3 linked regions of the Lepisosteus oculatus genome follow. The main gene of each other region encodes a partner of the protein of the gene in region 2 in a complex. Links are inferred from orthologs where the notes say so. Each region holds a gene or a part of one and is shown on either strand. Other genes may lie near its edges.

Region 1 (7,813 bases), on a different chromosome or scaffold from region 2:
TGGAGGACGGGGAGAAATTAACTGATTGTGAGCAGTTGGGTATTTGAGGCTGTCCAGATGGTGATCAAAAAGCACACAAGGCTTGCTCTATCCTAAAGTGTACAAAAACAAACGATCAGGGTGCTGTCCTTCTCCTGTGTCCAATTAAACTAATTCCCTGGAACCTGGAACTCCCCCTTTGAAAATATGTGCCGGGAGCAGGTTGCAAATACTTCAGGTTTCCAGATGTTTTCAATGCACTGCGAAAGGGCTCTGCTCCTCAATGGAAGGCCAAGGAGAATACTACAAATCACCTACCCATGGTTAGACAGTTCTTTGTAATAATCATTAATAATCATGCGTTTAGTGCAGACTAGGATGTCTATTTACTGTATGTACAGCATACATGTATACCTTAAGTCTTGCTTGATACATGATTTACTTAAACCATTATCAGGCTCGCTTCTACACCTACACCTTTGTAAAATGTACTGTTCTGTTTAAACAAATTCTAACACCTGTTAATTATATTCTCAGTCTGGCAGGGGGTCAGAGAATTTATTTAAAGTGATAGCATTAAATTAAATAGCTGTTCTATCCTAGGCAAAGCACAGCTACCAGCTTCACTCCCCACCGTCAAACAAGGACAGGGGAAAGGTCTCTCATACACAATTAAATTAGTAAAAAAGACTGGTGACTATTTCATGAAAAGGCTCACATACACACAAAACTAATTTCCAGGAGTCTAATCCACCATGGGCATGCTATTACATTATTACAGACAGGGAAAGGGTTTATCATAAACGGATTTAAATGATCAACTTCAAGAAGAAAAACCTGAAGATTCACAGCTGCTTTCACTTTCTTTTTTAACTGAATGGTAATTATAGGAAAGGGGCACACCTAAATCATAAAACAGATTGGGCATGTTGCTGTTCTCTAATCCAGTAATAAATCTCAAGCCACTCCTTAGCTACAGTGTCCTGTAGCTTGTAACTGCCCAGCAATGAGTAACTCCAATTAGTTTCAGGGGCAATGACTCAACACAATCCGATCAAACTGAAGACCATAAACCATTCGTAAAATACAACACCAAATAAAAATTCTTAAATGCAAGCCATTTACACTGCTGTAATGACCATCTTAATAACGCTGATTGGCACTTCAGTACCTTATTTGGAACTGTCAGATCAACTTAACCAAGATGAGGGTATTTCTCCATCTATAACAAGTGGATCTTCCCCATTAATTATTAATAATGGGTGTGACTAATGAATGCCTGGTCAGCAGAAATAATTACACCTGTTGGGTGTGTGAGGCTTAAAACTTTACCAGGGCTTACAGATTGCTCTTGTGGTTTCTCTTAAACTCCACAATGCTCGCTTAAGTGTGCCCGGAGGTGGCTAGGTTTTACAGTATACAGGGAATTCAAACTGAAACGACTAGCCAATGCTTCCGGCTGGAAGGCAGACGTCCACGGACGGTTGGAAAGTGTGTGGCAAAACATTCGTGAAAAAAAGGAAGCCTACGTAATTTTAACTGTCCTGGATCACATGTACCAAGGGCAGACAAGCAGACACTAACATGCCCGGAGACTCGCTATAAGCACGTAACTAGTACCTTAAAGCCCATTTAAACATTGCCTGCCCGCTCTGTAATAAAACGTAGGAACAACGTCTAACCGACACATTCTTCATCGACAACAGTAAAACAATAAAAATACGTCACAACGATAAATAAAAACTACATTTTTGTTGGGATTTCAGTTCCGATTACATTAAACCTGTACTTGACATTTGAATTACAACCATTCCTGTGCTTTTAAGGTACATTAAGTACCAGTTAATCGTACCCTGTACTACTACCGAAACACCTGAATCGTCTCTGTTTACAGCGATCATAGTGCACAAATGTATAATGCAAACCTGTACCATCACGACAAATAGCAGGGTTTATTTTGTCCTCTCTTCTTCACTAAGGCGCACACAGCCAACTTGACAATACGGAAGATCCTAGCTAATTGATTTGTACGTAAAGTTTTAGACCAGGCTAAAATTAACGGCTGGCCGAAGTTCAAAAACAGGAGAAAAGGAGGCGACTCTAAAACGCAGCAAGTTATTTTCGGCGCAGATAAATCGCACAGTTTAATCACAAAGGCTGCATGACCACAGAAGCCGAGAGAAACTTCAAAGTTCACAAATACATTATGGGGATGCGCTTGCGTTGCCAATATTTTAGAGTACGCGAGTGATCGGCTAATCTGTGTGGTTTAGACCCATTGAACAAGAATAATTCTCGTTTCCCGTTTTGTACCACGGTGATGATTCAGAAACCGAACCGTTGAAAACAAATTTTAAAATGACTGTGATAACGCCACGGCTTTGGGCTTTTGTTTAATAAAGCCAGGGCTAGCAAACTGGCTGCCAATCCGCCGGTTTGAAGCGCTCGGAGTCAACAGGAGCCGCATATGCGCAATTCCTGTGCTGTGTGGGCAATTTCCAGTGCCGTAGGTGAAGTTTGTATAACGAGGCCTTACTTACCTGCATCCCTGGCACTTGGACTGCTACCGGCGAGTGGGCCATCTTCACGTCCAGTCCAAAATGATATATTTTCCCCCAAAGCAGCGCTATATTCTCCTTTTAGCCTCTCTCCTGCTTTTAGGCTGCACCAAGCAAATAAACGAGGAGCAGCTGTCGCAACGCTGTGCGTGCCTGAAAGTTTTCTCACTAGTATTATTATTCCCTTACATACACTGCAGCTATCCCCCCGCTTAACTTTGCTTAAGCCTAGACCCCTCTTCACTGCTAGTCTGCCCAAGCTCCCATGCCTTGTCGGCTGATTGTCAGTTCACTGCGCCCTTTTGCTTTACGGTCGCTTTTGTGACCTCCTAGGTGCTGTTCTCGTGTTTTCTTCACGAAGCAACACTTGAACAGCATCTCAGAACTGAGATGCAAACGCCATGTTTGGCTTCCTAAAGTAGCTACTTGCTCGCTGTGTTAAATTGGGTGGAGCCGTGTTATTGAGCCAGAGTCAACACACACCACATTCACAGACGTCATCGCTTGCCGCTGCTGCTAGGGACTACAGTGTGTGCGGGATTGCGAGAGGCGTGTTTTACCATTATACCTTGCTAACGTAGCGCTTCCCGACAGGACAGGCCTGATTACAGTGCACATCAGTTACTGCTTGATGTGCCCTTCTCTCATCGTCTGTAAGAGTCGCACTTCAAGGCTTTCGGCGATACGAGCTCGACACAAACAACGATAAATATTGTTTAGCAGGCCGTTTCACAGTTCTTTTTTTTAAATAGCAATGATTTAGTTAGTGGTCATTTAAACTGAATTAAAGTTTTGAATTAACAGCCGTGGTACTTTAAGACACCAAGAAGGACGCAAACTTGAGTTAAGATTTCTTTCTCAGTTCTAGAAATGCTCTGCAGCTAAAAAGTGATCGAATATGCCAGAAAAGGGAGCAACTGGGGGATTAAAAATAAACCCACATTTTGATGAGCAAAAGAGTTCGTCTGAAAGGATGTACAACGTTGACAAATACATTTTATGTATGACAAAAAACGTTGAGAGATTATTGGGATTTTTGTATAAAAGGGGACACAGTGCATGAACTAACATTACTACGAAACATTACATTTCATTAATCAAAGGTGTCAGGAAATAAAATATTAGGAAGAAAGATTTACTCTTCAGCTAAATCTAAAACTATTGCTCTCGTTTTCGTTTTAGTATTGATGTTTTTTAGGCTCAGGCTTTCCCCTCAATCCATATGATATTTTTTACATTTCACCAGTTTTATTTTTTTCTATTTTTTCGGGAGCACTAATTTATTTTTTTACTGCTTCGCCTTACTTCCGTTTTCCAAACGGTATATAAGCAAATCTTCTATAAAGATACTGTACATGGTCACACCTTTCTCATTAAAATACTGTACATTGATTTACTTTTATTACATTGATAAGATTCATAATGCCTTATTTTAAAAATATTAATGGAAGTATAAAACAGCCCGCCACCTGCTTCCATTAAATCCCAGTTAATTAAAATTCCAGTGAATTAAAAGAAGTTAATGTATCGAGAAGCATGGCAGTTCTGAACCTCTTGATAGAATAATTGTCTTTTATCTTTGTTGATGTTTTGGTTGGATTTTATTTTTAAAAGGACTTGTGGAAGAGATTTCCCCCTGTATCCAACCTGCTCCATGGTGTTTGCTTGATCCTCATCATACCCCGCTGTTACGAGCCCAGCGGTAAGGTGTGTTTCTTTTGTACAGACAAGCAGCACACACCTGTCTGATCTGAAGCCAAAACTGTCAAGTACAGGCACAACAATATCTGTACGAGAAGAAATTGAGAAACCCACATTATTATCTTCATCCTTTAAAAATTATTTAAAGACGTCAAGGCAAAGTAGGTTGTATGACTACAAAGGACAGCTCACAAGCTGGTCAACACAGCAGGAAATGTGAATGTCACAGCGAGGTCAGACTAAGAAATGTCTCAGTAAGATACGTTTAAGAAAAAAGGCTTAGTTCTTACTCATAATTAAAGATACTATCAGAGAATAAAATACTCTCTACGTTTAGCACTGGAACAAAAGCATCTGACATCAGTTTGGGGGCATTCGTGTCCTATGAACACAGTAGAATGAAGAATGAGGACTCCTAGAGGTAGGAGATGGGACTGCAGCTGGGCTCTAATTGATTTTAAGTACTAGTGGACTTCATTATCATACAGTACTGTGACAGTCCAGACTGAGTGAAGGGTTCAAAGGTCTTGTGAGTATGCTTAATTGCCTGTTCATGGTGCTTGTAATGTTAAGTGTTAGTGGCCCATATGCTTACAAAGTATCTGTCTGTATAGCAGAGTCTGGGGGTTTGTACCTCACCCTAGACATTTAGGGGACTAAAAAAAGCAAAGACCCATCTTCTCATTCTTCTGAATTTATGTGAGCACCGTCAAATCCTCCAAAACACTCATCTAAAAGTACAAACCTTCGTTTTTTGCGTTTCTAACGCACACCATATCCTATTATAAAGATACTTATAATATAATATATCAGCTGCCATATCACCCTGCAACTCACAACTGGCAACCCACTGAAGCTAAGCAGGTGTGAGCCTGGTCAGCACCTGGATGGGAGGGGGTGCTCACCCTGTGGTCCATGTGGGTCCTAATGCCCCAGTATAGTGACGGGGACACTATACTGTAAACAGGCGCCGTCCTTCGGATGAGACGTTAAACCGAGGTCCTGACTCTCTGTGGTCATTAAAAATCCCAGGGCATTTCTTGAAAAGAGTAGGGGTGTAACCCAGGTGTCCTGGCTAAATTTCCCATTGGCCCTTACCAATCATGGCCTCCTAATAATCCCCATCTATGAATTGGCTTCATTACTCTCTGCTCTCCTCCCGACTGATAGCTGATGTGTGGTGAGTGTTCTGGTGCACTATGGCTGCCGTCACATCATCCAGGTGGATGCTGCACATTGGTGGTGGTGGAGGGGAGTCCCCATTACCTGTAAAGCGCTTTGAGTGGAGTGTCCAGAAAAGTGCTATATAAGTGTAAGCAATTATTATTATTATTATTATTATATTGTATAATAACACTCGTACGCCACCTACAGCCCAACGAAGAAACAGCACAGGCTACATCAAGTATCAGTGCATTAGTACGGATCTAAAACAACGCCACTTCCGAAAACAAATGTTAGGTTTTAAACGTTTGTCTCCATCTGCTGGTTGATGACGGTACAGTTCAAGAAGTACAGTATGTTTTATTGTGAATGACAAAACAGCAATTTAAGACAGTAACATTATAAACTGCATATGTTTTTAGTATTGTATTAGTTAATTATATATTCTATGGTGAGCTGACTGGAGAATGTGGTGGGCTGTGGAGACGTTTGTTAAATAACTTTAGCGTTTTTGCCTCAGAATTACCGCTTTGATTCTGTTCTTTCAGTAATGTCTGGTCTTTGGAGGTGGAATGAAGTAACATGTTTAACTTAAATCACAATGAAAAGGGAACTCCCTGCCTGACAAACTCTCCAACCGCTCGCATCTCCTTAACAGGACTGCGTCGTGCGTTTAACAGCTGAAGATGTGATTTGAAGCACGCAATTCTGTGATTACGCTCTGCTGGCATAAAGTCAAAATTAAATAGCATGGTCGCATATAGAGAAAGAACAGAGCCAAGGAATATTTGCATTATTCTTCTAAATAGAATATAAACGTCAAATCCCCAACTGAACCTGATGTCTACAGTAGTTCAGACGACAGGTTGTTTGTACAGTATGTCCAATTTATTAGGGGGCTTAGCAACAGAGTTCCTGAAGACCTATTTATTATTATAGATTTTGTAGTGAAAAATAATTTAATGACTATAAAATCCCTATAATTAACCAATGAAACATGCTTTCATAATTCCATTGGCAATAGTAACAGGTAAAAAGGTCAGACTCTAGGTCACAATGTGGTGACCATATTAGATTTTTTAAAAAACATTTCCATTATTCTGACTGTGCCTTGTCTTGCACGAATAACCTTAGCAAAGTTTTCCTTTTATTAAACTTACATTTTAAAACAAGGGTCTTGAACCCTGATTCTAGGCAGCCCCAATTCAGGAGGTTTTGTAAGTCACCATTAAATTACCAATTTCTAAAGCCATAGATCAACTGCGATAGATTAAACAGGTGATTTGAGAAATTAAGCGATTTAATGATAAAAATTAAGTATTCTTGATTGAGCAGATTCATTTTTTGATTTATCACCTGCTTTGTTTTGAAAGGGGGTAGTTGCAACCATATTTTCTAAAGTTCGGTGTAAGAAAGAATATTTCAAACCATAATAAATGTAAAATGTACACAGTAACTTTCAAACCTCCAACCTACATCAAATAGACTAAATTTCCAGGTGCACCCAGTCATATTCTGCAATTCAGAATGAGGCAACAAAACAGCCAATGACATGAACCAGCCCTATTACATTGTTAACTAGCAGGCTTGTGAATACATCTCTTGTAATCCAACAGAAATATTGCTCTCTATTTCGAGACGGTTTTGCCGACAAATAGTACTTACTTGTTAACTCTGCATGCAGACCACGTTGGAACACTTCTGCCGAGAAATGTCTGCTACACAATCTGTATGTATGCGTTCTTACTGTACATCATATTACATTAGTCATTACAGTGACTAGTGAGCAGGAAGGGCTGCATCACATCACAATTCTTACAAAATCTCGCTCTTGTCTGACGGTGAGACCAGGGGTTTGCAACAACATGGAGACTTACAGTACTTTCACAAAGTTAATGAATTTGGAATTCGAAACTTGTAATTTTTTTTCCATGCTGTCAATGAATTTATTTTGTTACCGAGATTTAATAATAGCTCTCAGAAATCGAGACTTCAGTTTCCCTTTAAAAATAGGGGACCACAGGTTTGGAGACCCCTGTTCTAAACGAATAGACACCACAAATTTGAACAGTACACAAGTTTCATAACTAAGGGTCATACAAAATATTAAGATAAAGCACTAAGTTATGAGGTGAAAAAAATCACAATATAAGGCACTTTTTCAATTTCATAGCCCCTCCAGCACAGCAGTTTTGTGCTTTGTATTGAACAAAGTTCAAAGTCAGGTAATGTGCAGGTTTGTAGTGTAGTTCAGTGGAGGTAGTTAGTGGAGGATAGGGGAGAAGGTTAGGACTGGAGCTGCTTCTGGATACCCTACACCCTCCTGGAACGTTTTCACATGGAAAAACAGGAGGACTTTCCTACAGTCCTATATATTCCTACTTTCCAAATATATGATATTTGTCCTTCAG
Region 2 (7,052 bases):
TTTCTGGCTACATTCCTTCATTAAAATAATACTGGACTTCCAAACACAGAACATTTGGTTGGTTAAGAGGAAAAAAAATACAAAGTGGGGGAATTATAAACTTGATAATAAATTACATAATCGCCAGGATCATTCTGGACAGTATGGCATGAAAGTACAGCCAAGAACACGAGACACTTCTACTCTACTCAACTCACTTCTCACTCTACCCACTTCTACTCAAAGGATTGTGGATGTATGGAAAGGGCTGCAAGCTGGTTTTGAGGGCAACATTCTGGCTTCTTTCAACAAATGGCTGGATGAGATCCTTGGATCACTTAACTACCAACTACCATAGGCTGTATGGACCAAATTGCCTTCTCATAAGATTGTAAACATTCTTATGTTCTTGTGGATGTAAAGAAGGCTCCTAGTACACAACACATGAATCCATTTCATATTTCACTCTTCAGGCACTTTTATAATCTTGTTCCGATGGAAATAGGAAACAAGTATCTAACAATAAATGCCACTGTAATACTGTAAACACCAGATCAAGTAACAATATCATTGCACCTCTTTGTGTTCATGTACTTAATTTAAGTTAATGCACAAGAAATATCAAGAAACAGGTGTTGGCTAACAGAAAAATACTTACATCATCTTAAAATCTAAATGGTTCAATAGGAGTCTTACTGCCATCAATGAAACTCACTTTAAATTATTTTTTCAACAACAGTGGACAGTCGAGATTTCAGAAGACAACGAAACAGTTACTGCATGATAAGAGAAATCCTTAGATTATAGTTTACTAGCTAGGTCTGCTTCGTGCAAATGACTTCATTGAAAAAACATTTAATCCAAAGAGATGTTCCACTGTTAATCTGAAAATTGATATTTCTGAAATCTCCCATTTCTTTACTTTACTGAATTGAACATATTTTGACAAGATGTCTTCCTTTTTGGGGAGGATTACATAGTGGAAAAGATGCAGTGAAGGATTTGGTGCCTTAAAATCATCACTGCTCAGCACAGTTTTCACAGAAGAATATAAATATCTCTGAATTAGGTTTGTCTTCTCTCCAATATGTGTGTCTTAAATCGATCTCTACTCCTTAAGAATGTGTTTCACAAAAAACAATCATACTGCACACTGCAAAGCCTTCTTTACGAAAATCTGGGAATTAGGGTCACTATTACTTATTCTACTGTATATAACAAATAACAATGCAAATTACAAGAATAAAATAAGATGAATCACATGAAAAGAATAAAACAGTATTAGCTCCTAGTTGTAACATGAAACATGTTTACCACAGATAATTACCTCAGTTCATAATGAGATCAGTTCTCTTTATACATTCTGAAATGAAAACCTAAGACTTTTTTCATATGGTTATTTCTCTGAGAAAATAAAATTATCTATTGAAAAAGGTAAGTTTTACCGAGACACTACCCATGGGCTTTAATATGGCTCTCTCACATAGTCTGCTTTCAAGTTACTGATAACACAGCTGTTCAAAAACATTTCCTTCCTCAGAGCTAGAGTACTGCAAATCTGTGTGCATCTAAAGAGGTTTCTTCAAATAAAGTCCCAATATTTCTGATTCGAGAGGGTAAGATTAAAAAATTGGTCATGGAGAATACTTAGAATGAAAATCCTATTTCTGCAGGAAAAGAGGGTAAAATTTGGTTAGATAACGTTTTACTTAAAAACTTGCTTTAGTATAGAAATACACTGGAAAATGTTGCCTTCGATCATCGGTTAAAATGCAGGCGAATGGCGAAAACAGATGAAAATTTCAGATTCATCTGTCTACACTAAAAGCACTATGTCATAGTAAATAAAAGAAAGATATGGAATATGAAAGTATTGCCCTTGAGTGTTTACCTTTCATCAGACAGCATCTTCTCTTCATTGTGATAGAAAAGTGAGACTAGAGGGACACTGAGCTCCCATTTCTCAAATATTTGTTTATGCTAAAACAGTACGAATAAATAAATTGGTATCATTACAAAACAAAATGTCTCCCTTTGCACTTTAATGTTTTAAATAACTGGATGGTTTAAATGGTCTAATTTTATTCAACACTGATTTTGCTCATTTTTAATGACAGAATGAATAAACACTTCACACATTTAAACAGCTTAACGGATATTGTACACTACACAAATCAATCTTTAAATGGGAATATTGAAAGGTAGGCTATATGGAATCTCTTAACTGAGGTGATGTAATACTAGTTTCCAAAAACTGTGTGTAGCAAACGTGTTCACATTTGATTAACAAGATACTGTTTTTAGATAATGGTAGTATAATATATATATATCCCAACTCAGTACTGTCGCTCTCGTATGCTTTTTTTCTGTCTAAAAAAGCATGTTTTTTTTCTTTATGCTTATTTATAATGGCGGAATGCCATTCCGAGAAAAATAAAAAAAAACATATCAGAATTGTTGATAAATGGGATTGTTTTGATTAAATTTAAATACATGATTTTCTTTGAAATCTTTTACATTTTATAATAATTTCATTGCATATATCTTAAATGTAGAAGGAGTGCCCTCCCTTTCAAAATTAATCAATTAATACTGGAATAAGTTTAACAAGTCCTCAGCTCTAAAATCCATACCATCATTCTGCTTGATACCGCCACGCTGCCAGCTACAAAATTATCCCAGACACTGCCATCAAATTACATTGTGTGCCCGCACATTCACACATGTATTTTTAGCAGTAGTCTGAGCTGTCACAACATATCAACTCAGATTAAGCACGCTTTCCAAAGAGGTAGGGCACGCAAAAACTATCGGGCACACACAGTACCTTCTACACACAGACTCTAGTTCATCCATCAGCTCCTACCTCCGATTCTTTCCTCTGGTTCTTGAATAGTTCTCTCACTTTCGGAAGGGGCTTCTGTTTGCCGCTGTTATTATTAGATCCCTCCATTTCGGCACCCTGCATCTGTCCCTGGCCCCTCTCTGTCCTCACAGCTGCTCACCTACTGCCTCCAGTTACTCGAATCTGTCACATTGGAGCTGGCTGGGGGATTCCGAGTTCAGGAAATCCGTCCCCCCTGGGCTGATTGGTCGGGCTGTCCCACTGTGGGCAGTGGCTTACGGCAGATGGGGCTGGAAGTGGTCGGCCGGCCTGTCAGCGATAAAATACAAGGTGAGGGAGCTGCGTTTGCTTGGAGGGCGGCTATGGGATTCCTCAGCACGCATACCTCGGACAGGCAGCAGTTGTGAGTTGGGATGGATGTCAGTCACAATCTGCACGGTGAAGTGAGAGAACTTGAGCGGCGTTGTGTCAAAATGGTATATTTGCATGGAAGACGAAATATTTTAATTACAAATAGGAAGACCTCATTCGACAGTCCATTACTACACATTTTAAGATGTCTTCAGCACTATAAGCTCTTAGGCAGTTTGATACAAGACCTTTTAAAGACGTGAAGTTTCATTTTCCTAAGCAGGGCTAAGTGTCAAATCCGACCAACGTAAACTGTCCAAGAAGCGAAGTACGTAAACTGTCCGAAGTTGCTGCCTTTTGCGCTTTAAACGAGACACGAAGTCGCCTGTGGAGAACACAAAATGCAATTTATTGAGGTACAGACACGTATTTTCAGTAAATTTGATTCCGATAGTGAAAAGGCTAAATCTACGGAAGCATGGCTATGATAATATGTACAGTATTTCAGTGCATATTAAAAAGTACTTTCTGTACTTCAGTGGAAAAAAAATTGGTCTCCTATCAATAAGATAAGAAACTTGTTTTTTCATGACTTGCGTGAGATTTCTGTCATCTTTCATTACGCACGTCTATGAGTTAGGTCTTAACTGATCACCCGATCATAAAAACAAGGACCAAAAACATACAAGGTCACTGGAACTGTTACACTGCTGTTGTTATAAAGGTTTGTTCCAATACAACCTGATTATAGATTATATGGATAATTGAGTTTACTGATATCCCACAGAAATCTAAATATGCATATCCAATAATTATGACAATGAGACACTTAGAGATTAGAGAAGCGTGAGGGAAAACTAATGCTAATCCTGTATCCACTTCACACAATTTCATGTAAGTGGGTTTAAATATTTTGATTAACCTTACTTGTTCTAATGCTGTATCACTGGTGTTCTAACTATGTCTATAATGGCATTGATAATTACAAAGAGCCGATATGCATAACTGTAGCATTCAAGTACACTTCTTGCAGAGATAGATAATGAGCATGGTCCTCTCTTGTTTATTGATGTACATCAGCAGAGCTCCATTAGCACTCATGCTAATGTTCTTAAACCTATATAGAGCACTGGATTAAATCCCACTGTGTCAACAGGATTTTAGTGCTGATCTTACCAGTCAGTTTCTGATGGTCTCCCTTGATTCTGATTGCCTTTTTGTGCTGCAGCTACACAGTAGTCCCTCAGGGATTTGAAGTTACTCTCACTTTGTCTGCACTATTAATGCCAGATCTGTTTTTTATGTTATTGATTTTCAGTACCTTTGTTGCATATTGGCCTACAGTAGGCACTGTAAGAAAACAGTTTCTCACAGCTTTTGGTTTTCTTCATCTAGTTGTTTTGTGATTCTCTGCCCCATTATTGTATATGGTTTGTGCAAACTCTTTTAACGTAAAAGTATATGACATGTTCCTCTCTATAGTCTTATAGGAGTGGAATACTAAGAAACTCCCAGTCAAACAGAAAATTCAGTTGAATGCTGACATAACCAGTGGATAAAGAGTCCCCCTACATCCTCTCTATTTGAACGTGTCTATAATTGCTTCTGTATTTACCAGACTAGGTTCAATTATGATCACTTACCTGTACTGTATATGCATAATAATAATAGTACAATGCTCTGTGAGATATCCTTAGATTGTCACAAAAAAAAACCATTTTGTTCTTTTAATGTGAAAACTGACAGGATGAATTGACAGGTAAGGTGCTCTTTTCAATATATAAACACACTTAGAAAGGTTCCAAACAAAATAAGGGCATTTAACCTGTCTTGTTCATTTGGTTGCAAGTATTTCATTGATTCACAGAATTAAACACACATACGAGCCTTTCAATGATCAAAACATTCCCATTGAGTTTTTGTGTAGAATCTCACCTCAATCTGTTAAATCAGTCTTTAAGAAGTGGAAGGTGCCTGAACCCTGCCTAGGTCACAACACAAGATCAAACTCCAAAATGGCTCTCCAGACTGAACGGCTGGACAAAGAGGAAACTTTCTAGGATCACCACATTGAGGCCAAAAGCAACTTCAAAAGAGCTACAGAGTTCAGTGGCTGAGATGGGAGAAAATATCCATGGGTCTACAATATTCAAGTCACTCCACAAAGGGGTGTGTAACTAAACAAATCCCACATGGATTTTGCAACAAAGCACCTCAGTGACATTGCAAACATGTGGGAAAAGGTTGCATTTCATAACAAAATTGGAATATTCTGATCTAAATGTAAAGCATTATTTCTGGTGCAAACTCAGCACAGTGCATCACTCAGGCAACACCACCCCTGTTATCAAGCATTATGTTATAACAGTAGTTCTCATCAGGAAGGATGGGGAACCTTGTCAAGTCTGAATGAACATAGATATGTCATGCCCACGCCCGGGTAAGTGCTGTTTCTAGCTCCCATAACTCCAAACTGGTAGTCAATCGCTGAATCAATCTTCCAATCAACCCGTTCCTATGGCAACATGGTTGGGAAGGTTGACCATACCACTGGTACATAATTAACAGCACTTTCCTTGTTTCCAGCTGGGCATTTATTCCTGCTTCAGTGGCAGTGCAGTGTTCAGTCTTTGCATTAGCTCCGTGACCCGGTGCTTGTGTCTCCTGTGCTTGCATTATTTTCATGTGTTTGAAATTTTCCCCTGAATTTAGTTTTTACTGATGTTTACTGTAACCTATTTTAACCCTTAGAAGTATTCAGTTTGAGCATGCAGGTTTTGAATGAATTAAGTTTAAAATACTTTTATGCAGAATTTTGTAATTTCACAAAATGGGACACCGTAGGAAGTTATTTGAATAACTTGCCAGGGACTGTATATCCCTATATACTTCTATCTATTTCCTCTCCTGCCAGTCAATTGGTATATTTTGGAATCTTTTGGATTAGATTCCTCAGATATAAAGCACCATTACATGTTTGTGTTTTGAAAGTGATTAAGAGTTGCCACAGGTCTTGCTGAATATTAGATTTTTCGGAGGAAGAAATTAAATAATTAAAACGTTGTGAATTCCTCTGTGTACATTAAATTGGAACAAAAGCCATGTCCTGTCAAACACATGCTGTGGGACTCGGTGAAAATCCATTCTGCAGTGACAAGTGAAAGGTACTCCTCTGCCATATTCATTTAGGATTATCCTCTGAATGAATTATTGATTAGTATGGCTAGGGGTAGTTAAAGTAGATTGCTTCACGCATCCCATATTTTTAAAAGCACTTCAAATGATAACACGATTAAAGCCTGTATTTCACAAGGAGTCTGAAAGTTAAGAAGGTTGCTTCATTCTAATATGAACCTGTGGCCCCATAATTTTAAGAAAACAAAGGAAAAAGAAAATTAAAATGAAAAATATCCTGGTTTTTGCCTTTTTATTGAGAAAAATGTCTGTTCATTATCTTCACACTCCATTTAAACCCTCGTGTAAGAAACCACTCATTCCCAAACACCAGCAGACTCTTTCCCTCCAAGACAATGGTAACATAACACAGACTTTTTTTTAAACAAAATTGATTTGCTTTAAAACATATTTCACCAGAAGGGAGGGTTGGTTTTGTAAAGACAGCAGCACTGAGAAGACCATGACTATTAAGAGGAAACTAAGAGGAAAATGTTAATATTAAAGAACCTTTTTTTTCAATCTGATAGACACATCTGGTTCAATGCATTTACATATTCTCATTGCTGTACTGGATTGTCACGGCAAGGATGAAGTGGAAAAGCCAGGATTTAAGACAGTTTCTTATTAAAAACTAAACCTGAAAGTGAATAAAATGAGAGGGTCAAAATTCCATTGTTGCGAGAAGACTAGTTAACCTTCA
Region 3 (7,533 bases), on a different chromosome or scaffold from region 2:
CCTTGTAATTCTGACATAATGCATAGACTGCAGGTAGCTACAAATTAAGTTTTTGAGGACAGAAAGGCGAGAAAGTAAAGCCATCCAGCTGCTGGAAGAGAGGGCTGCCTGGGACTGAACATTGTAACTTCTGTTATGTGAGCTCTACCATGGGAAACAGGTAGAGAATGTAAAAGGAGAGAAAAACTCCAAATGCACAAGGCTCAACTTTTGAATGAGGCCAGAAGTGTGCACAGACGTCACACTATGACGACTGTACAATCTCCGCTGTTTAAACTGCAGCATTCATTCTTAGGAGTCTGAATGTGTCGGCTGAACTCGGGATGAGAGATTTAATTTATCTACATCATGTTCTACACAAAATGACTAAAACATACTTTGACACGCTAAATAGTTGTCATGCCAATGTTATTTCCTGTTCAGTCTGCTTGAAAATGACTAATTTAAGTAACAGGTAATGCTGAAACATCCCTTTAGTTCCCATGTTCTGATAGCTATTGGAAATTAATAATCAGAATGCTTAGTCCTAATTTAAGTTAAAGGATTGCATTTTTGGATTTAAAACTATCTGGAATAATTCAGAGATAAAACATTTTATGCACACTATCTCACATCCTTTTAGATGGCACTTAAAAAGTTAAAAGATAGCATGAACTGTAAATGTCTAGCTCTGTAAAATAGTCTTGCGTGCAGAAAGTGGAGATTTATTTCTGAATAGAAGTAGCAAAAAGGAAATCTATACAGTACACACTGTGAACTTTAGTTTCTACATTACAACAAAGAACATGCCAAACATCTCTTTTTGCAAGGTTTACAACTTATTTTGTAAATTGTGGTGTTATTTCTAGTGTAATCATTAGGATGTCACATGTAAAGACATGCAGAAGCAAAGCATTTAGTCATTCAGTCCCCCTTCAACGGTCAACGTTTTTAGCTAAATTTCTTAGAATACTAGGAATTCTGCTGAATACAAGCCTGATTGGGGGAAACACTTCAACAACCAATTCAATCCCAGATACATAATGAGGCCCCAATGACGTACAATTTGCCAATGTGTCAATTATGGATGACATCACAGCTTCACAGCCATAACTAGAGAGAATTTTCTACTTAACACTTGTTAAGGCGGAAATCCATTAATCTCTAAACAGCCTTTGTAGTTGAGCAATTGAGCAGCCTGAATGCAGTAATGCATTCATGTCAGCCTGAAACGTACTAAAAGGTTATTTCGTATTCCTTTAGGTCTTATATTATCTTAAAGTGATTCCTTTAAAAATATTTTTTTTTACCACGTCGGTGCCGAAAGCAAATAGGCATTTAACATAGCAGTTAGGTGACGATTTACTCTGTGATCATCTACTTGGTTAATACAGTAAAAAAGTGCACGGAATCAAGACACTGACGACCTTAAATTAGAGGCACCTTTTCTGCGTAACTGCAAAAGGATTCAAATTTTCAAGTCGTCTGCTGACAATTCCAACAGCATTGTAATTAACGTTATATTTTAATCTAACCCTTGTTCTTTACAATACGTCCCAAATAGAACAACTGTCCAATCAAAAATTATATTTATTGATTAAATAACCCCACAACGAAGCAAACTCTACTGCTCTATGTAAAGGTTACACTCGGTACACCATCCTGCTACAAAGAATACGGCATGAGTGCTCTCCTTTACAGGCCAAAATCGTCAAAAAAAATGTTGAAAGTAAACATCCTCAAGGGCGTCTCTTCTACCCTCAACTATTCAAAGGTTTAACCCCTAGAAAAGATGCATATCTACCGTCCTTATATCTAACTCTTGCAAAGTGCATTTGTCGTTAAAGGCAAATGCTGTACAGACCCTCTTTTCCTGTTAGTGTTCTTATGTTTCGGCTGTTAACAAACGCAACATTCCGCTAGGAAATTAAGTACAGCAATGCACATTGCACTTCGGTGGTCCTGTCCCTACGGACGGCTCTCAATTACTCCAGTGCCCCGGAGAACACGGGACTCGAGCGGGTAAGGTCTCACAGGCCTCTCGTAGTCCCCCCACTTCCTCGCTACTCCTACACTTAAAAGTGCAGGAAGGGGGAAATGTTTGCATCACCAAAAGCAACATCTCTACAGAGTCGAAGCCGGCTGGAGCGCCACGATTTCGAGTAATGTGCTTTCGTGTACTGCTGGGCACAACGTCTCACCGCAGTTCTCCGCCTAGTGCGATACAATATTGCCGCTTGGCAAGCTACAGATGTTTTTAAGTAACGATTGTGTCTTGTTTGCCGCGGTACGCATTTCAGGGTCGTGTAATGTTTTTCCCACTTAGTAGGTTGAACATTTAAAGAAAACGGAAGGTGAATGTCTTACCTGCATCCCAGGCAGGCCAGTCTGCACCGGGGAGTGAGCCATGGCGTACAGCAGTTTGAGCCCGAGAACTTGTCAAGAAACAACAACACGATCTCCTAACTCGGATCCCAGCAAATGCGAATTTGTATATTCCTGTCCTCTTTGATTTGTAGGTTATGTCCTGTAGATACGAGAATTTATCCACAGAAAACAATAAATTTAAAAAAAAATCACAGACTGACTTCTGGCAGCCCGGATCAGGTTTACCCAGCTTTCCGAAGGGTCCTTCCCTTTTTTTTTGTTTGGATGAAAACCAAACTATTTACCCCCAGAACATGAACTACAAAAATAAAAAAATAAAAATCAACGCATACGGATCACAGTCCGAGACAGTTTTTTTAAAATATACGCGCCGGTGACGTGCTGTGCCTCGGCATTTTATTTTTTTCACGAAAGGGAGCGCAGGCTTTTTGCTTTGGTGTGCAATTCGTCTTCCGTGGACAGATCTCCCACCGTAACACACAAACAAGGGTGCATGTGCTCCGCTACCATCCCACCACTGCTTGTCCAAAAAGGTGGCGCCCGTGTTTCGAAACCCACCCTACAGTAGCGCTTAAAATGATAATCAGCGTTAGAGCAGTTACGATATATTATTGTGTTGTCCTCCTCACTCTGCTCTCCTGCCCTCCGCCATCTTGTCAGCACTGTCACTCTGACATCAGGGCGGATCCGGGCTCCCAGGCCCAGTGGCGCTCCTGCACCGGCAGAGGGAGCCACTCTTCCCGGCTCGCTCGGTCCTTCACTCCCGGGCAGAATGTTGGCCAGCCTCTACTCTGCTCTGCTGTGCAAAAGTAATAATAATAATTAATAATTGCTCGCACTTATATGGCTCTTTTCTGGACACTCCACTCAAAGCGCTTTACAGGTAATGGGGTCTCCCCTCCACCACCACCAATGTGCAGCATCCACCTGGATGTGTTATTTTAAGCTTATGCAATTACATTCGCCCGAAACGTGCAGTTGTTATAATATGCACAGGATATAATATGCACGTTCGAGCACAGGATTTGTGACAGAAATGATATAAATTTGATGGCTGTACAAAAAAAAAACCCATAAACCATTGAAGATTAACTTAATATTCATAGACGGGTGTTCTCGCCTAGGCCCCCCAAGGAAACGGAAACTTTAACCCATGTAATGGTAACCGTAATGGTGGCGCATTGGTTAGTATTGCTGGGGCCCTGACTTCAATTTCTGCGCTGCTGTCTGCGTGGAGTTTGTCTGTTCTGTCCGCGTTCGCACGGGTTTCCGTTTACCAAAAACGCTGTAGGTGATTTGGCTTCCCGCTAAGGTTCTAGGTGTAACTGGGTGGCTCCCCCGCAATCCTGAATTGGAAAAAGTAATTAGAAAGCAGATGGATGTAGTATTTATGTAAAAAAAATGCATGACTGCTGGTCGGTACAATGACCATACTTTTGGACCATTTTTTTCAAATATCTTGTCCACTTGGGTCACGTTGTTGATGCAAGTTTGCACAACAAAGGTGTGAATTAGCACACGCAATGTGCGGTCGTCTACTATATTGTAATGGAGATTATGATTAATAAGGATGATTATTTGACTCCTACTTTTTGTTTTACTTGCATTTATGCTGGCTACCGCAAATATGTAATACTCGTGATGAAATAACCACACACATGCCTTTTCTCCGTGATCGAGTTGCTGACAGAAGTGAAAATCTAGTTTCACCTGTCCAGCTGGACGTACTGTACCTTGTGCAAAGCTTTTGGTTCAAGAGAAAAAGCGCAGACCATTAACACTGTAGCCATTTTCTCAGTGCATCGCCTGGACATGCGATTATACCGTTCAATTTGGGTTCTGTCCGATTCCTACAAATCTCCAACAGTGACTGTACTGGGGAGTAAATTAAGGAAACAGTTCAATATATGGAAAGTGTCATGTAATTTGTTCACGGCTTTTGTTCATTAAGTTAGGAAAAAATTCACAACAAAACTTGTGCTTCACACTTGCTCTTTATGTAAGACAGTCACGTAGTCAAAAACAAGTAAAAAAATAAAAAAGGGTCAACATTAGTGAAAAACTATATATTGTTATCAAGATATGGAGTTTTAAAATTATTTATTAAAACAACAAAAGAAGGCGATGATGGAAATACAGTGCCCTCTGGTTGAAAAACCAGGAATTCGGGTGGTGTGGGTTTGCGGGCTAAGATGACTCGTTTCTCTCATAGTGACGGCGGGAAAATGTATATTTAAATAGCATGCACCTAATTATTAAATAACACACCTGCAGTAGGCTCCACGCCTTCTGCTTTTCAGCATGGAATTAACATCTGCTTGTTCCTTTAATTATTAAAGTGACATGTTAACCTGTATGGTGCATGACAAACATGGCATGCCCACGAAGATTATATTTTATATTTTTATTATTACATTGGATCTTAGTTCCTGAGGAATTTATACCTGAATTTCCGATTATTGTATTTTCATAAAGGAAAAAAATAATTAGGCACAAATTAAATAGTAAGCCAGTACAAAAAACTTGGCTCTTCTAAACACAAACCCAGTGTACATTCTCTCCATAAAAGAGCCTTTTAGGCTATATACAGTAAAACATTATTCAGAATAAATTATGTCATGTACAGTAGCTGGATATATTGAAAACTAGAGTCATTTTTAATTCTCCCATCCAAAGCAAACCATACACTTACTGAATCATTTACCATCACATTAAACAAAATGTGATTATGTGACAGCTGGGATCAGATCGCCATCTCTTAGCAACATGCCAGTTTTGTTCCGCTCAGCACCTCCTCAGACAGTGGTGAACTCCACTATGTCAAAAGGCTGGGCCTCCCTTCATAGGAGAATTCAACACCACACAGTTTCTCTAGGGATCACGTTGTAACTGGCTAAACAAGCAGTTACAGACAGTGTTACAGTTACTTCTTGAAATACACTTCACACCTGTGTCACATAGGCTCAAAACATCAACTAAAAATAAGTCCCAAAATAAAATACATTTCACATTCTAATGAAGATAAGTAGATCAGCTTCAAATGAATAGAGTTTTTCGTCCACAAAGCAAATTAAAGTTTTTTTTTGTAAATACAAAGTTTTTCTTTCTGGAAAATGATAGTTTTGTGTAAAATGTCATGCACTAACACTGACTCCCCAACACATACACGTGTTGTGTACAATTATGATCCAGCAAACCTTTTAAAACATCAGGTAATTAAAAGGGCCTTGAAGACATTTGATGTCTATTAACGAGAGTTTAAAAGATAACAACAGGAGGATACTTAAGTGGTTTGAGTACAAATGTTTACCTAGTATTGATTCTCTTTCACAGTGTACATAACTGCTTTTGCTTTTGAATTCTCTTACTTGGAGTCTTATTGAGATATCATCCACAGTAATACATAAATATGAAACAACTGGAACAGATATAATAAGCACAATGACAAATTAACTACTGTATAACTGGCATTGATGACAAACTGAAAGATGACAAACAAAAAGAAAAATTCGGCAGGTCCATTCATTGACTTTTACATTTTAAATAAACACGAAATCATTAAGCATGCTTAATACTGCTTCAAAATGATCAGGGCATTAAGTAAGATTGCATCTTGATTTCACAAAGAACAACAAGCATATCTTTTCTGGAAACATGTGTAATTTTTCATTTAAAATATTTATACGTATTATTTACCTATGCATATTAATATCACAGGGAGAAAAAAAAACATGGATGGAAATATAGCCATAACTGAATTTATTGAAGTCTTTCTTGTGCAAAATGAAAGAGAACATCTCGTATAAAATGAGGTCAAATCTATTTTTAGCCCCAGATTTTGATTTGAATAACTGGGGCTTTATCTTAAAAAGAGTCTCTGATACATACACTTCAGAACTGTTTCATAACGCAAGGATGGCCGAATCTGTGCAGCTGAAAACACTCCATAGTCTGTTCAGATGATGTTTGTTTGTATGTTTATTAATAAGGAAATATAATGCCGGAATCAAACACTTTGAACAACAACAATTAACTGGAATTATTAATATGATGAAGCAGCAAATAATTTAAAAGCATTTAAAGTCAAGCCAATAACAAAGATATGCTTGATGGAACTATACATTAAAAAGTTTCTTACATGCATCTTAAGAAGCAGTGATCTACTCGGTAATACGATGCAGTATACTACTGGCACGGTAAAGCATGTTTGGAACAATAGGAATTATATAAGAAAATAACGGACAAGCATGGTAAAAACACAATATAACCTGGGTAAAACTATTAGAAGCACAGCACTACTGTTAATGACATCTCTTGTGTTCTGCTGTTTGTCTCAGATTGTCAGATACCAAAGTGTTCCAGGAAAAATTAGCAACTGTGATGCAATGGCTGAAATAACCGATGAGACGATTTCATATAGAGTTTTTACAGTTTAAGCTTTGTGCAAAACATTAGTACACCGTGTTATATGAGACTGTATGAAGTATGTTGCTGGACAGATAACAAGATATTACTTCAAAACACTGCTTCACCAGATGAACTATATTTTTATAAATTTGTAAGGGGGAGCAATTGTTTTTTTATTTTAAATTAAATTGGGTCTCAGATTATTAGATTAAATCCCCAGAAAAGTTCAACTGATTTTGTTCTACAAAGGTTCTCCATTTAGCATTCTCCGTTGAAAAAGTAAACAAAAAAAACACTGGCTTCCCCAGTTCCTCTACAGAATAAATTCTACTGACTGTTATGATTTATGTTTCATGGATGTAGTCATCTGCTTACCCAGGACCCTCTGCTAAGATGATACAACTCAGGGCACTTAGTGTTTCAGTCTACAGCTCTGGGTTTATCTATCATCTTGTGAGATTTAGAAGCTAACATGCACAATTTGGAGTTTCTGACTGAAGCTCAGGGCACATATCTTTATTTTCATCCAGGGTTTGTGGGTGGTACCTTGGGGTACTGAGTCCAGTAGTCTTAGGGAAATACAAGGGGCACTTAGCTCTGTTGATAATGCACAAAACACTTAACCTCATTTACCTAATATACATCAAATGGTACCACAAAAGGCAGCATTTGTTTTTTTTTCTATACTTGTTTGTCATAGTTCTGTCATTGCAAGAAACTAACTTGCAATGAGAGGGCATAAATGATCCATACTAGGAC

The links. Proteins that work in one complex are often made in the same cells at the same time.
Region 1: strip2 (region 2) and stk26 share a complex: the UniProt entries of both Homo sapiens proteins name them as parts of the core of STRIPAK complex. The link is inferred for Lepisosteus oculatus from reciprocal best matches to the Homo sapiens genes STRIP2 and STK26.
Region 3: strip2 (region 2) and serine/threonine-protein kinase 24 share a complex: the UniProt entries of both Homo sapiens proteins name them as parts of the core of STRIPAK complex. The link is inferred for Lepisosteus oculatus from reciprocal best matches to the Homo sapiens genes STRIP2 and STK24.

What each region holds. Positions count from the first base shown.
Region 1 is NC_090703.1:39,095,622-39,103,434, reverse strand, and holds the start of stk26 (serine/threonine-protein kinase 26), read right to left. Parts: upstream 3,048-7,813; 5' UTR 2,562-3,047; coding exon 2,520-2,561; intron 1-2,519. UniProt on the Homo sapiens protein: Serine/threonine-protein kinase that acts as a mediator of cell growth. Modulates apoptosis. In association with STK24 negatively regulates Golgi reorientation in polarized cell migration upon RHO activation.
Region 2 is NC_090702.1:33,448,513-33,455,564, reverse strand, and holds the start of strip2 (striatin-interacting protein 1 homolog), read right to left. Parts: upstream 3,026-7,052; 5' UTR 2,948-3,025; coding exon 2,846-2,947; intron 1-2,845. UniProt on the Homo sapiens protein: Plays a role in the regulation of cell morphology and cytoskeletal organization. Required in the control of cell shape. Calmodulin-binding scaffolding protein which is the center of the striatin-interacting phosphatase and kinase (STRIPAK) complexes.
Region 3 is NC_090710.1:6,270,677-6,278,209, reverse strand, and holds the start of serine/threonine-protein kinase 24, read right to left. Parts: upstream 3,048-7,533; 5' UTR 2,389-3,047; coding exon 2,347-2,388; intron 1-2,346. UniProt on the Homo sapiens protein: Serine/threonine-protein kinase that acts on both serine and threonine residues and promotes apoptosis in response to stress stimuli and caspase activation.